Neurospora crassa OR74A: one gene and its partner. The protein of the gene in region 1 interacts with the protein of each later gene in a biochemical or structural test. Links are inferred from orthologs where the notes say so. Each region holds a gene or a part of one and is shown on either strand. Other genes may lie near its edges.

Region 1 (4,076 bases):
TTGGTGAACAAGCATACGCAGACTGGAGGATCTTGTCCATGCCCTTGGGACCAAGGGTGCTCTTGACGAGGTCGCCAACAGCAATGGCGCCGACGAAGGCGCTGAGACGGGCATTCTCTCCCTTCTCTTCTGTGGTGCCCTCCTCGAAGATCTGGGTGGGGCTAAACGAGGCCTGGAGATGGTCAGGCGGTTGGTTAGTTACGGTGAGCTCGGAAAGATGCCCAAAGTGATGTACAAATCAACTTGCCATGATGTAGAAGAAGCTTAAGTATTAGACAAAAGGTCGGGGATACGGGGTGCACAGGGGGTTGAGGTTGGAAGAGAAGAAGAAGCAATTGAAGCTTGGTAGTACTATATTTTGGGTGGACGTTATGGATACCCTGAACGCGAAGCCTCCTTTCTACAACAATCTGCCAGCAGCGGGACGGATGATGCTCTTCTGAATTCCAGGCACTTTTTGGACGGCAGGCCACGGCAAAATTCCAGAGCTTCCTGTTCCTCCTTTACCTCACCGCCTGCGACAGGTGGCATAAAATGCTTGTCACTCGCATGCCAGGCCGTCTGCCCCTCCTTTGACAGACAAAATGTCCACTTGAGGTGAGTGGGCAGCAGGGGACCCCACTTGGACGTCTTCCGTGGGGAAGGAAGAAAGGGGGGGGGAGGGGAGCTTTGGGCTGGCAGCGGCGGCGGCGGCGGTGGATAGTGGTGGACAGCGCAGCCAGCACTTTGAGAAGCGAGGAGCCCAGGGGACTACCGTCGAGGCTCAAAGCCAAGAGGAAAGGGAACCTGAGTCGGTGCAACGAACGAACCGCAACCTTCAGTCCACTTCTTGACTTCAAAGTGATGGCAACTTGAAACCTGTAAACTCTGCTGAAAGCGGACAGACGTTGCCATGGTCAATATTGGTTCCGTGCACAAACGAACAATGCTTAGCCCACTGCCTGCCGCCATCATTTTGTTAAAAAGAAAGGAAACCGAAAAAGTTGTAGTTGATGAAGAATAGAGACAGCATCGAGAACTTGACTTTCCCAGGCTGAGTGTTCATTGCGACTGTGCAATATCCATGATATCTGAGGCTCCGTCTTCTTTAACCTCCAAACTATCCACCCCATCATTGCATTCACTGACATAAATTCCCATTTTGGCGATTCCAGAGAGAGGGGATCTGGTAGGGTAGCCAATCAACGTGCATTATTGCCTCCTAAAGTGGGGCATTCCCTTCACTGTCTTCCCTGGTTCTCTGGCCGTTCTCACTGAACCCCACCACAATCTGCGCGCTGCGCACAAATTCTCACAATAATCCTGACGACCGCATAAGCCAGCACGTTGTTCCGCCCGCGGCATCGCAGAAAAAATCCGAAGCGGCCAGCCCAGAATCCCGTCATCCACCAAGTCCAACCACCACCACCACCACCAGAGGCGCCTTCCCGACCCGTACATCGCCAGCTACCACTAATCCCCGGCACCCACCAAGCATAACAGACTGCCGATTAATTGCCCAGCATGGCGCCCTCTTTCGACCACCTCCGCGACGAGGACCTCGACGAGGATGACTTCGATGTTGATGAGGTCGACATTTCCGATATCCGCGAGAAGTACGAGGTTCAGCTTGAGCAGGGCTACGATGCCTTTGTCGTTGTCGACGGCCTCCCCGAGGTCAACGAGGAGCAAAAACCCAAGCTCGTCAAGTTCCTGTTGAAGAAGCTCAACACGGTTGGCAAGACCCGGGAGGACCTCATCTTCATGCCCATGGGCGAGGATGGAAAGTCGCTGAGGTATGCAACACAGCCGCCGCCTTCAAAATGATGCGCATCTACAGACCGGCCATCCATCGCCGCGCCCGAACCGCGATGTGTCCCTATGCTGTGCATGTTGGCTCCCCGACCAGGCCACTGATATGAATTCTGTAGGTTCGCCTTTGTCGAGTACTCGTCGCCCGCCGAGGCCGCTGCCGCCTGCAGACAGCTCGACCTCGTCCCCCTCGACAAGAAGCACACCCTCCGCGTCAACAAGCTTACCGATGTCGACCGCTATGGTCGCGAGGGCCGTATCGATGACGAGTACACTCCTCCCAAGATCGAGGAGTTCCAGGAGAAGGAGCACCTCCGCTCCTTCATGGCCGACCCCAGCGGCCGCGGCAGAGATCAGTTTGTCATGTTCAGGGGAGAGTCCGTTGGTGTCTTCTGGAACAACGAGAAGGATACGCCCGAGAATATTGTTGACCGCCAACACTGGACCGAGACCTTTGTGCAGTGGTCGCCCCTCGGTACCTACCTTACCTCCGTCCACGCCCAGGGTGTTCAGCTTTGGGGTGGTCCCTCGTGGACCAGGCAAAGGCGTTTTGCCCATCCTTTTGTCAACCTTGTCGCCTTCTCTCCCAACGAAAAGTACCTTGTCACCTGGTCCAACAGGCCGATTTCGATTCCTGAGGAGGGTCACCCCGCTCTTTCTGTAGAAGACGACGGCAAGAACTACGTTATCTGGGATATCGAGACCTCCAAGCCCCTTCGTTCTTTCGCCCAGCTCGACACCCCCGCCGCCGCCGAGGGCGAGGCTCCCAAGAAGGCCCCCAAGTTCCCCTGGCCCGCCTTCAAGTGGTCTGCCGATGACAAGTACGTCGCCAGGCTGAACCCCGGCCAGTCTATTTCCGTCTACGAGCTTCCGAGGATGAACTTGTTGGACAAGACCGCCATCAAGATCGAGGGCGTTGTGGACTTTGACTGGGCTCCCGCCACCGTGCAGCGCGACGGTGTCAAGTCCTACGAGCAACTTTTCTGCTTCTGGACCCCTGAGATTGGCAGCAACCCCGCCAGAGTCGGCTTGATGAGCATCCCCTCCAAGCAAGTTGTCAGGTCACTGAACCTCTTCAGCGTCTCGGATGCCAAGCTCCACTGGCAGTCCGAGGGTGCTTATCTGTGCGTCAAGGTTGACCGTCACTCCAAGTCCAAAAAGTCTCAGGCTACCACTCTTGAGATTTTCCGTGTCAAGGAGAAGGGAGTCCCTGTGGAAGTTGTCGACACCATCAAGGATACCGTAATAAACTTTGCCTGGGAGCCCAAGGGCGACAGGTTCGTTATCATCACCACCACCGAGCCTGTCGGTGCCACCGCGGTTCCCCCCAAGACGTCGGTCGCTTTCTTCTGCCCTGAGAAGGCCAAGGGCAATGCTGTTGGAAACTTCAAGCACCTCCGCACTCTCGAGAAGAAGAACAGCAATGCCATCTACTGGTCGCCTAAGGGACGCTTTGTGGTCGTTGCCACTGTTGCCAACACTCAGAGCTCTGATCTCGACTTTTACGACCTCGACTTTGAGGGCGAGAAGCCCGAGTCCGACAAGGACCTTACCGCCAACCTTCAGCTTATGAACACCGCTGACCACTACGGTGTCACCGACGTTGAGTGGGACCCCTCGGGTCGCTTCGTTGCCACCTGGGCTTCCGCGTGGAAGCACTCTGTAAGTATCATTGGTATTAAATCAAGATGACGTGCAGCAGAAATCGCTAACGTGAAACAAAAACAGATGGAGAACGGATATCATCTGTATGACTTCAAGGGTGAGCAGCTGCGCGAGGAGGCTATCGAGAAGTTCAAGCAGTTCCAGTGGAGGCCGCGCCCCGCTACCCTCCTTAGCAAGGAGGAGCAGAAGGCCATCCGCCGCAACCTCCGCGAGTACTCGAGGATCTTCGAGCAGGAAGACGCCGAGCGCATCAGCAGCGCCGACGTTGCCGTTGTCGAGGCCCGCCGCCGCCTCCTCGAGGAGTGGTTCGCTTGGCGCGAGGCCATCAGGCAGGAGGTTGCCGAGGAGCGCGAGATCTACGGCCTTCCGGCGGATCCCGTTGCCGACCTCATCAAGGCCAAGACCCCCGAGCTCGCCACCGACCAGGAGGAGCAGGTCATCGAGGAGATCATGGAGGAGGTGTTGGAGGAGACCGAGGAGATCGTTCAGTAAATGTGCGAATAGGCGGCGGCAGTAGTTTGATATGTTGTGAAGTTACATGGCGTACCGTTTTTTCCCCGTTTTTCGAAAAGGTCATCTGAGGGTACAGTGAATAAAATGAACTGGGTTCTTTCATATCT
Region 2 (4,609 bases), on another chromosome or scaffold:
CCCTAGCGCGCACCAACAGAGTCGAAAGCAGCCGCTCATTTCAAGCAGGCGCGGAGCCACTTAAGGTTGGCGGTGGAGCTGAGCTAGGGGTGGGTTAGAAGAGTGCCGTATACATGATGAGAGGAGTCGGAGGAAAGACGGGGGATTGGGAAGAGGAAAAAAGGCGGAGGGAGGAGAAAGGTATGGGGGGTTAGGGAAAGGGAGGAAGAGGAGGGTGGAACATGCCTGAAAGAGGTGAATGGAAGCGAGAATGACGATGAGGAGGAGAAGGAAAGGCAGGAAGGGAATGATACTGATGGAGAGAGTGATCATGACCGAAGGAGGAGGAGGAGGGGAAAGGCAAGAAGGTCTAGGGATGAGAAGGTGTAGGGGTTATGATGGGCGGGAGGCTATTGTTCTTGTGTGTTCATGGTGTTGTTGCTGAGGTTTCTTTGCGCCGAATGTCCCCCCCCCCCCCCCTTTTTTTTTTTTTTCATTTCATTCTCGAGTGATATTTGTTTCTTATTTCTCTTATAGGCAACCAGCCATTTTTCTTTGTCGACATCTTCCAAGACTTCATGATTTATGAGGGCAGGGCGGAGGGATGAACGACTTTTACGGTGATGAGATGAATGAGACAGGAAGATGAAGAGGATGAAGGGACGTGCCGGCTGCTTTGAGAGAGCTCAGGAACTTACGGTCTTTGCGATTGGTCGGTTGAGTTGATGATAGGACATCATAACAGATTCTGTCACCAAGTAATATAATGTTTGATGCCAGGGACGTTCAGCGGGATAGATAAATGCACTGATAATAATTCAAGAGTTCAGAGAGGCTGTCAGCTGTTTTAAACACTGGCATGCGCCCTGAATCGACAAGAAGACCACACTGTATTCTGAAGAGCTTCGGTGCGTTTTGGGCTCCTGTAGTCCGGGCATGTTGCCAGTCTATTACACCGATCTTGTTCAACCTGGAGTTAGCCCGTCATCCATGTAACAAAAGTCAACTATAACCACCTGGCCACCCTGGCCCGATATGCTTAAAAGGCGGAAGAAATCTCTCGATCATGACAAATTTTGCCGCTTGTTCCCCATTAGTATGAACCCCCACAGCAAGAAGAGACAGGAACCAGATCAAGTAATAGTAGTATCAAAGAGTCCTTTCCCATTTTGATGACGCACTTCCTTGTGCAGACCGCATTAGGGACCAAAACATCGCTGCTTCTTCCATCATTCCTCTAACCCCTTCCTCCCTCTCCTCCGCCTCCTCGTCCGTCTAGAAGACCCATTAAGTTTACGCAGCCTTCTTCGCGAACTCAACCCTAAGGATCAAATGTCTGAAACCGAAACCGTCCATCTTGGCGCAAGCCTTGACAGCGTCGCTGCGATCAGCGAAACTGATGAAGGCGAAGCCCTTGGCAAGACCCGTATCGCGATCCTTGGCAAGGAAGACACGAGTGACGCGACCGAACCGCTCGAACATATCGCGAAGCTCTTGTTCCTCGGCCATCTCGGAGACCTAAGCGTAGAAAACATGTTAGCACGAATCAGTCCCGTCATAATAACCCCTCTTTAGGAGCAGAACAGAGCAGCTTTTGCAAGTCTGTCGCCTACTCCCTCTTTCCCTTTTCCTTCTGCTTCTTCTTCTTCTCCACCACCACCACCACCTCCTCCTCCTCCTCCTCCTCCGCGTCCTTTTGGGGGACACTAGGGGCAAACGTACGTTGGTAACTCTGAGAGTGGCGAGATCGTCGCGCTCGCCGTACTTGCCGCCCATCCTCTCTCCAGCAGCCGCGGCCCCACCGGCACCACGCAGCGCAGGTGGCACGTACGAGCCCTTCTTGCCCGCGCCCGCCGCACCCTGGGAAGCGGCAGCAGCCTCGTCAGCAGCACTGGCGGCGACGTCGGCGGCAGCGCCGGCCTCGCCGATGGGGGCCATGGTGTCCTTGTAGGGACAGCGGGCGGTGAAATGCTCGCCGTTGCAAATACGGCACTTGACCTTCTTGTCCTTCAACTTGTCCTTCATGGCCTGGGCGTTGGGGTCCTTGCTCTCATCCTTGGCTTCCTGGCGCCAGTTGAAGGAAGGCTTGAAGATGATGTTCTCGCCGACCGAGGTGGTGTCGGGGGCCGGGCCGGCGCCGTCCTTGACGCTAAGGCCGAACTTGGTCCACGACTTGCGCTCAGCGACGCGGGGGTTGACGACCTCACGGTGGGTGATGTAGCGGATGCGTCGTGTGGTCTTGACCTTCTGGCCGTTGTCGTTCAGGCGGTACTCGATGATGGTCGTGCTGCCATCCTTGTTGGTGATCTTCTGAGGGGGCGGGAGTTCGGTGGAGGTCTCCTCGAGCTCGTCATCGTCGGCCCAGTCGTGCCTGAATGGTCGCGAACTATGTTAGACTCTTACTCTCCGAGAAATCAAATGCATACGTGTTGGGTTGTGAAGCACGCCGGAAAAATGGCAATCGGGGGAATCGGGGGCGTGGATGCAGACGGGCGTTTGCTGTCGAGGCAAGCGGAGGAGTACTGACTTCTGTTGAACGGCAGCCATCTTGACAGTATGTGGTTGTTTTGATTCCGCAGGTTCGGCTCGTCTGGTGATGGGTGCGGTGGATGACTGAAATGGCCGTGGGTTGTCGTCGCGATGGGTTGACGTTGCGCTGGTTTGGCGGCGATTTTTGGTGGGGCTCAAGTTTGAAAAGCCAGGGCAGTTTTCCCCCCCATTTTTTGGAGGTGGGAATTTTTGGATATTTGAGTGTGGGGCAAAAATTGTCTTGCTGACTCGGCTTTCACTCAGGAAATCAGCCCTGTTTGGCAGCTAACGGTGCTCTATCCTACGTACAATATCAAGGCAGCAGATTCGCACATGACAGCCAATACGGCTCCCTACAAACGAAGCTTCGTTCTTTGACAAAGCAGGACTGGTCGCATCCAGACGTATACGTTGAGGTGTTTTGCCCCTTCTTTCATTATCCGCTTTGGGTTGCTTCCACTTCGCATCCATTAGTGGGGGCATCACAGGCATCACAACCCTAACCCGAACGTTGCTCCTCCAGGCCTACCAGGGGCAGGGCGCGGCGCCGCAACATGGAGCTAGCTCAACTCTCTCGACACCAGGACGTGTTGTACATAGTAGGTACCTTTGTTTGCAAGTTGATGGCTGGCACCGAGGTTAAAGTTTGAGAGTTTGAACTCGATTCAGATTTCTCCAAGCATCCATATCTGATGCTCTAAACTCACTGCTATCTAAGTTGGCCACGGAGCCTGCCGGGCACCAGCTTTCTTCTGACTCTGTGACCCCCCTCCTCCGATTGAGAATCGAAAACCACCCCGCCCTTCATGCCCACCACACTCACCTCCTCAATTAATCACCTACATACACAGTAGGTACCCCAACATTACATAATACAAGGTATATGGCAAAAAAAGACAAATCCCGCACCAAATCGACCTGACAAAGGAGATCGTTCACACGTTACGTTCCGGATGTCGCCGGTGGTATAAATGTACCCTCATCACCTGGGTATCCAGTATCTTGCTTCCTGCATCCTTATTCCATCCATCTAACCGGTATCTTGTTTTTCGACTGAACCCGACCTTGAAAAAAGAGAGACAAAGGAAATGGTGACGGAGTCAATCAGCGGTTCGATGGCGGTTTATCTCTATCAGTTGAATCCCCAGGCGCCCTTTGCTCTGCAAGTATTGTCGCTGACAGATACTCGGAAACTTCAGTGGTCGTGCTTCCTAGACGTCCAGAAATGGCGATGCGTTGAATGATGGTATGGCGCCAGATACGAGTAAATGCAAATCACAGCTCAAGGTGAATATGCTGAGTGACAGACTTGAAGTGACGATTTTCTCGGGATTGGAGGAAGGGCACGATTCGGCGGGGGAGCAGGTGGGGGACCTTCCGCCAGCTGTGTCTTATTCCGTCGCGAACCCAAGCCGCCGTTGGCAACCGACAAAGACCTAAAATGGGGCGCGGGTCTCGAGCCCTGCTTCGAAAGTGAAGTTGAAGATATCTGGGGAAGGTCGCCGAGATCGTCACCGAGGTCACTCAGATCAAGGAAACTGCGATCAGGTTCGCTTGACCTTTCTGACAGCTGAGACTGCAGACTAAATCTTCTATCGGCGCGCTTCGATGGGCTACCTGGGTAATCGCCGACGGACGGAGTGGATCTGAGCATGTCTTGGAAAGCCACTGATGATGGAGGAGCATAGCCTGACCTCTTTTCAGGGCTACCATGTGTGACAGGTTGTGTGGGAGAGAGATTCTCCCAGTCCTCGCCGCTGTCACAACGTTGCTTGGTTGCGTCCGGCAATCCCCAAGACGAGAAAAGGGACTCCGGTTCCGGTGCTGTCTCATCAGCTACTTCGATTGAAACACCTTTCCTATCAAGCGACGGCGATTCAGGCGACGGTTGATCCACCACAAAAGAGAGCGGGCGTGAGTTGAGGCACAGAGCCGAGGGCGGGGGTCTCCGTGAACCGCCGCGCATCTGACAAGGTAGCGGAGGAGGTGGAGAAGATGGTTCAACTTCCTCTTCCGGGAGGGATTTTGTTGACCTAGTGAGCGAATAACGCTGGCTGGATCGTTTGCTAGAGCTCGAAGGGCTGCTGGGATCGAAATTCCA

The links.
Region 2: the proteins of un-10 (region 1) and NCU08046 form a complex in vitro, tested with the Saccharomyces cerevisiae proteins (4 studies listed by BioGRID, with this or other methods). The link is inferred for Neurospora crassa OR74A from reciprocal best matches to the Saccharomyces cerevisiae genes PRT1 and TIF35.

The regions. Positions count from the first base shown.
Region 1 is NC_026507.1:3,330,318-3,334,393, reverse strand, and holds the start of un-10 (eukaryotic translation initiation factor 3), read left to right. Parts: upstream 1-1,276; 5' UTR 1,277-1,503; coding exon 1,504-1,775; intron 1,776-1,910; coding exon 1,911-3,453; intron 3,454-3,519; coding exon 3,520-3,948; 3' UTR 3,949-4,076. Other genes in the region: NCU02207 (T-complex protein 1 subunit beta), read right to left, coding at 18-172, 248-250. UniProt on the Saccharomyces cerevisiae protein: RNA-binding component of the eukaryotic translation initiation factor 3 (eIF-3) complex, which is involved in protein synthesis of a specialized repertoire of mRNAs and, together with other initiation factors, stimulates binding of mRNA and methionyl-tRNAi to the 40S ribosome.
Region 2 is NC_026504.1:4,018,156-4,022,764, forward strand, and holds NCU08046 (eukaryotic translation initiation factor 3), read right to left. Parts: upstream 2,914-4,609; 5' UTR 2,844-2,913; coding exon 2,818-2,843; intron 2,762-2,817; coding exon 2,507-2,761; intron 2,351-2,506; coding exon 1,702-2,350; intron 1,498-1,701; coding exon 1,273-1,497; 3' UTR 759-1,272; downstream 1-758. Other genes in the region: NCU08047 (hypothetical protein), read right to left, coding at 3,791-4,609. UniProt on the Saccharomyces cerevisiae protein: RNA-binding component of the eukaryotic translation initiation factor 3 (eIF-3) complex, which is involved in protein synthesis of a specialized repertoire of mRNAs and, together with other initiation factors, stimulates binding of mRNA and methionyl-tRNAi to the 40S ribosome.